2 linked regions of the Drosophila melanogaster genome follow. The protein of the gene in region 2 interacts with the protein of the main gene of each other region in a pairwise test. Each region holds a gene or a part of one and is shown on either strand. Other genes may lie near its edges.

Region 1 (3,277 bases), 6.8 Mb from region 2:
GGTCCTGGAAATTTGAAGTCCTTGGCAGGCACACGACATTTGCCGTCTAGCCAGTTGTCGAATCAAACTATTAACTCGAATTGAACAGATCTTTCCTTTACTATTAAGTGGCTATGAAAAATAGTCTATTGATGCGTTTGATAATTGCCTTATGTTTCACAAAAATATCTTACTATTACTATAACCATACCATATATATTATGTTTTGTTTCACTACCAAATATGTCTTCTTTTCATAAAGCGAATCGCCAATTATTCAGTGTAAAACATGCTTCGTAAATATGTTGAATAAAATTAATTTTGAAAGGAAGCATTTCATTTATTTCATTAACTAAAAAATAAGTTTTCCCAAAATTCATCAAATGTGTGCCAAATCTGACAAATACTTCTCCACTTTATGTGATTATTGTAAAGTCATTTATATTTTTTGCTGGCCGAATATCTTAAATATGATATTCCTTTGCTCTCAATATTCTTTACTTTTAATCCTTATCTCTGGCTCCTGTTGCTCTGGATTGAAGACCAGTTTGCGCATGTACCAACACTGCACATTGAGCGAAACTATCTTTTTTTTGGCATAAACACTTATTTTAAAGAAAAGCGTGCTTTCATGTTTTGAGTATACAATGATTATATTAGACACTACGTCTAACTAACTATTAGTATAAGTATTCGTTAAATCCTAAAAGATGTACAAAAATTTTTGGTTTACTTTTGGATAACCTTTTTACTCAACACTCATTCAGAACCGTTATAAGTTTATGGTTTAAACTGAAAATTTATATTTTAGGTGTTTTTTAATGTTTGAATATATTTTAAACATTTTTAATACTATATAATAGATAATTGTCTCCGTGTTATCATTACACTCCTCGCATGGAAATCTCTCTCTCTCTCGACGGCTTGTGCTCGGCTCCCATTCGGTTTTGTGGGGAAACACGAGACGAGGACGACAAGGAGCTTCGTGTCCTGATACAGCAACAGGATTAAATATATATGACGAGCCGAGCAGCGCAGTGTTATCATTTGAAGAAAAGAGTTGGTCGCCTGTGAACACGGTGAACTTAAGCATTAGAGGTTTAAGCTTATCAGGATATAGGAGTGCACCCAGCTTACACATCGATAGATAGCTCAGCTGAGCGCGAAAGTAACTGGAATAAGTAAGGGAATCACTGGTCTAGCGAAGCACCCAGCCACGGATGTGTCTGTACTTGGGAGTGGTGGAGCACCTGGTGGATGTGGTGGCCTACTGCATGTGCCGTGTCCTGGAGCTGTCCCTGTTCGCCTGCATGATGGTCTGCGGCTCCATGAGAGCCAAGCTGACCCACGGACCCACCAACGAGCTGGAGCAATGACCAGGACACCAGGAGTGCTGCTAAAAGGATGCGCGCGTTTGTGTGTTTGAGTGTGTTTCGACTAAAATTTAATAAAGGCAACTTTTCTAGTGGCGAATAAATTACAACTCATATGTGCTTGTAAACGATTGTCTTTTCCTCCCGTTGGCTGGCCCTTTGGAATTGAGCCATAACTCAAGATGGCCCACGGCAAGGATGTGGCCAAAGGGACTGGCTGTTTATCCTTCAGCTTCCATTGTTGGATTTTGTTTTTGTGCGGCGTACTCCGTTCATGGTACTTATTAGCCCTGAAGGGGATTATATGGGCAGTAATACAATGCCCATTTGCATGATGATAAAGTATCGACTGGGGGGGCCTTCCATGCCCACATGCTGGGCAATTGTGTGTTGGGGCTTTTGTTTTTGGCGCCTGCAAATATGCTCCTTTTTATTTGGGGAGTAGCCCCCATCCATTTCATAGGATAGTCCTGCTTCGGTATTTATGTAGTTGTTTACAGCCTCCGGCTTGGAACATAAATCCATTCAAATTGTACGTGCAAATGGGAGGACATCATGTTATATTACACACACCCGCAGCAGGCACTTCGAATTTGAGTTTTGAGCAAGTACAATTCATGTTTTGATACATTTTTGATAGCTGAGCAACAAAATCATACCAAATTCCCCTCTGAACATGGACAGCCCAGTAAAACAGCGCCTAAAACCCAAGAAGCTGGACAAACATCCAGGAACTCAGAAGGTCGAGTTCAAAAAGGATATCATCGATGAGGTAGCGGATCAGTCGGTTGAATACGATTACATGAAGTATCCCAGCAATAAAGAGAAGGCAAAACTCCTGAAAGGCGTTAAACCATCGAAAAGTGTCACATTCAAGACGGTGGTGGAGCTGGTGACCTATTCGGAAAACTGGAAGATGAAGATGAGCGAGAGCAGGCTGCGCTCGGAGGATGAGCAGGTGTGGTTACGGATGCTAAAGTCCACTTTCCGATACTCGGGCACCACGTATTTCTGATGCATTTGGACAAGCCTATTAAAAATTTTAGTTTTACTAGAACAATTTAAATAAAATACTACTACTACTTTTTGATACGTTTTCCAATGCATCAGACTTATTCTTATTTTCAGTTTCTTATATTACAATCTAATCATTCTTTTAATCTTAAACTTTAGCTGAAGAGCTCCCAAAAATATCGCAACTACTGACAACTTTCCTTAAAATTATTGTTCGTTGTAAGCTAATAAATTGTTATGTGTTGATAAAAAAATATTTCGAGAAAAACTAAAAATAGTTGGTTTTTATTTTGGAAAAATAATGGTCACAGACAATTTAATGAGAGTTTTTTTTCCCCAATATCATATATTTTATGGCAGGATCTTTATTTACCCAATGCTCGGCATCGCAGCTGGTTGATGATGTTGCAAATGACATACTCGCCGGTATCCTGGCCACCGAACTCCTTGGTGCGAATGCCTTCGTCCATGGTGCGCTTCAGCTCGCACCACAGTGCATCGGCGCACTTATCGTGGCCCAGATGCTGGAAGAGATCCACAATGGTGGACACGATGCCGTATGCACTTAGATTGGCATAATTGGTCAGCGATAGTTTCGTCTGGAGCGGTTTGAAAACGGCATGGTGATCTCCGATCTCCACCGCACTGAAGAGATTAGCCCCGCCACAGACTCCACTGCAGATGGCGGATAGGAATGTGGCATAGCGTTCGCTGGCGAAGAGGCAATCGAAGTAGGTGGGCTCCGTCATCAGCCGGCTGATGGCCTCCTCCACCTCCATGAGCTCCAGCTCCAGGCAATCCTTGTAGTGGCAGTGCAAGCGCTGTGCGGCTTCCACCAGTGAGCCATCGCTAATGGGCCACTCCTTGGCCTTGTTGATCAGCGTCACCCGTTTCCGGCCCGCCTTTGCAGC
Region 2 (3,887 bases):
CATGGCGAACATCTCAAGTTCGTCAACCCCAAAAAACAATCTAAAATATTACTAACTTAAGAATTTTTAACTATTGCCATAGTATAAGCATTGAATCACAGAGTTCCGAAAAAAACATTTTTAACCGATAAGATGCTGCTGATTCATCATAGTCTGTTGAAAACTTAACGAACAATGTATTTGTAAGTTTCAGAATTTTAATTCACAGATAAGTTACAAATATTTGAATCGTATAATATCCTATAAGGATATTAACATTTCCAGTACGTGTTGTCTACATCGAAAATACTGAATATCATTTTTTGATTATTTAGTCTTCATAAGACAGTTGTAAGTATTTATTTAATTTTTTTTGTGCATTAAATTAAATTCATTAAATTTTCAATTGTTTCCAGTGTACGTCATAATTAAGCTTATCTCGCAAACAGTATTTTGCCGCTAAGCACCTGCGGTCACACTTATTCGTGGAGCACCAGGAGAACGTAAACAAATGGAGCACGAGGTGGCTGTTTCAGGAGGGGATTCCTCGCTGGAGGAGATCACTGGCAGTTCGAAACTCAAGCCCTCCAAGAACACGGCCATCAAGTGCCTGAAATGCGACAAGGTGTACATATTTCCGTCAGATAAAGATGACTGCCTGGCGCATTTGTATATGGAGCACCGACTGGTCATCGCCGATGTGGAGGATATAGCGCTTCTGGAGGACTACCTCCAGTACTGGGAAAAGGAGTTTCACAGTGAGAGAATCAGCAACCCTACCCTGAAAATTTAATAATTGTTACCCATTTTAGCCCACGAATTCGAGCAATATTGCACCACAATGTTCCTGGATCAGCTGCCCGATGGCAAGTACGCCAAGAACGAAAAGTACTACCTGCTGTGTGACATCCTGCCCCAGGACTACGAGCTGCGGCGAAGGTTGAAGGAGAAGCGCCTAAGTGAAGCCCTGGAGCGACATCAGTTCGAGCTAACCGACCGCACCTTCTCCAAGGAGTGCCTTTTCTGCAGGGCCATCATCAAGGGATTGAGGGCGGACTATCTGGACCATCTGTTTGACAAGCACTTTCTGTTGGTCGGCAAGCCCGAGAAGCTGGTGTATGTGGACGAACTGCTGGATCACCTGGAGGAGAACTTGAATCGGTTAATGTGCCTCTACTGCGAGAAGATCTTCAGGGATCGGCCCACGCTCAAGGAACACATGCGCAAGAAGGGCCACAAGCGGATCAATCCGAACCGAAGGGAGTACGACAAGTACTTCCTTATCAACTACAATCGTGTACCAACGGCCCCCACGCCCCGGAAACAGCACCTCCAAAAGCGAAGACGGGAAACGGCATCCGTGTCCACAGTTGCTGATCCTGAAACCGGCAGCGTGGACTTCGACAAGCACTTCGCTCGCCCTGATTCGGATGGCGAACACGATTCGGACTGGTCGGATTGGGCGGCAGATGGTGAGCCTAGCTCCATTAAGTGCCTGTTTTGCCACCATCTCGGCGACAACTTCACCGCCCTCAAGAAGCACATGCACGAGGTTCATCGCTTGGATTTCGAGAAGGCCACCAGCTCTCTGAACTTCTACCAACGCGTCAAGGTGGTCAACTACCTGCGCCGCCAAATGTGCCTGCTGCGCTGCGTGACCTGCGATCTGCAGTTCGACGAGGAGGAGCTGCTCGTGGAGCACATGGCACAAGAGTCGCACCACGGAATCGGCGATAAGGAGAGCTGGGACAAGCCCGAGTTCTTCTTCCCGTACATCGAGAACGATGGTCTGCTGTGTGTGCTGGATGATTCCGGAGGCGATGACCCGGACGTCGATACGGTGCGCATCATCTCCGAGGATAGTCTGGCGCAGATCAACAAGGATGCGGAGCGGTTGTCCCTCGAGAATTTTAAGCTGTTGTAACTGAGATTTTTGTATTGTACAGTTTACGTTTAAAAGAAACTAAGTAAATAGCAATGGAATTTAAGTGTGTACTATATTTATAGATACGTATGCACCAAAAACTTTATGCAGAGGAGCTAAATATTTTATTTAAATACCATATTTTTTAGTCCGCATAAGGGTTAATTCGTTCTGCTTAGCGAGTACAAGAACCTTGCCACCAAGCTAACGTTGCCACCTTTTCGTTGGACATCGATTGTTTTGCAGACTGACATCATTCCCATCAAAACGAACAAAATAAAGAGAAATTCAGCGAAAAATGGAGGCACTGGACATTCTGGAGAAGCGCATCGATGCCCTGACACGAGTCCTGGGTCCGGTCCAGGACTCTGAGGTGGGCGAGGGCGTGGTCGACGCCCTGTGCTCGGCACACGCCATCCTGGGCGAAGCAACCACAGGAAGTGCTGCACTGCAGCAGTGCGTGAAGAGATCTGACGAGCTGGAGAAGTACCTGGACCCCAACTTCCTGGAGGAGCACCAGCAGGTGCGCTCCAAGGAGGTGTACCTGCAAGCCGTGGCCCCCGAGCTGCACACGCAGGCCGAGCAGCTGGAGAGGATTAAGCAGCTGGAACCGGCCCTGGGCGCGGAGTACTTCCGCAGCATTCCCGCCGAGTGTCTGGAGCAGCTAAAGGGCATAACGCAGAACAACGGGGAGTACGCGCAGCAGAGCGAACTTATCGAGGAGAGTCTGGTCCTGGCCATGAAGCGATATGGCGAGATCCAGGCGGGACTGCTGAGCTCCCTGGATGCCATGAGCGAGCGCTTGGACCAGGTAGAGGAGCGCATGGAGCAGAGGAAGCGTGCAGAGTTGAGCAAGGATGTGCCGCCCAAGGATTGAGCGGATATAGATCCAAAGACTGCTGAAAGTATTTTATACGACCCCGTTTCCAAATCCGTTCACCTGAAAATCTGGTTCCACTTAAGCTGAAGGCATCAGTTGCTCAAGCAATGGATGTAACCTAGGTTCTATTGAAAAGTGTAATCGTAGCTAAAGCCATCCCGATTTGATTGGAACTGTTTAAGGAAGCCGGGATATTAGATTTTCTAACTACTCCAACGTAAAGTGGCTAATGATGCTCTTTCAATTGTAAGTTTCATTTTTAAAAACTATTTAACTAAGCACAATAAACTAAATTACAAATCTAATGAAAACCAATCAAAATCCTGTCTTACAGAAGGAAAATGCTATAATCACATAATAGAGCACAATATGGATTTATCATTGGCTGAATTTTATTTTTATTATCTATACAATGTATACAATACGATGTGACACTTATGTATGTAGGAATTGTAGAAGGAAATAGTTACAAAATAATAATTTACCCGCGGAAACGCTCTTTCAACAGTAAATTTCCAATGCTAAAGTTTATATTGTCCGGACAATAAGAAACTTAGCCAGAATTAAAAGTAGTTGGCGCACCACAAGCCGAATCCAAAGGATATCCTCTTCACCAACATACAAGGCACAGTCTTGACTTTTCTTCTTCCCAAGAACAAAGTCCGGCGCTCCTAGAATCGCAGCTCGTTTCTAACTATCCTCTCGTATACGGATGGGGTGAGTGGAGCATACACGCCATCCGGTTGGGCGTAGAAGAGTTCATCGTCGATGATCTCCGGATTGAAGCCCTGCTGCTGAAGCTCCACCTTGCGCAACTTGAAGGTGCCCGTCAGGTCGATTTTGCGCAGGAATCTGAGAAACTGCGGCCTGGCGTAGTTGGGCAGGGATTTGGCCAGTTCCACGCCCAGCTGGCTGACGTTGACCTCCCGAGTGGGATCGTAGATGGCTGCCATTCCTGCTCTGCCCTCAGTGTTGGGTATGCTTACGCCGTACACAATCACATCCTTGTAGCCAGCCAGATTACTCAACTGCGCCTCCACCTCGCTGGTGGAGACATTCTCACCCTTCCAGCGGAAAGTGTCGCCGGTCCGATCTTTGAAGTAC

Evidence for each region.
Region 1: the proteins of DCTN3-p24 (region 2) and CG15705 interact in a two-hybrid assay, tested with the Drosophila melanogaster proteins (one large-scale study listed by BioGRID).

The regions. Positions count from the first base shown.
Region 1 is NT_033778.4:16,278,994-16,282,270, forward strand, and holds CG15705 (uncharacterized protein), read left to right. Parts: upstream 1-1,956; 5' UTR 1,957-2,028; coding exon 2,029-2,310; intron 2,311-2,525; coding exon 2,526-2,558; 3' UTR 2,559-2,636; downstream 2,637-3,277. Other genes in the region: prim (primacord), read left to right, coding at 1,200-1,355; CG7755 (uncharacterized protein), read right to left, coding at 2,732-3,277.
Region 2 is NT_033778.4:23,060,825-23,064,711, reverse strand, and holds DCTN3-p24 (dynactin 3, p24 subunit), read left to right. Parts: upstream 1-2,118; 5' UTR 2,119-2,201; coding exon 2,202-2,780; 3' UTR 2,781-3,292; downstream 3,293-3,887. Other genes in the region: CG9890 (uncharacterized protein), read left to right, coding at 491-737, 792-1,903; Fatp2 (fatty acid transport protein 2), read right to left, coding at 3,455-3,887.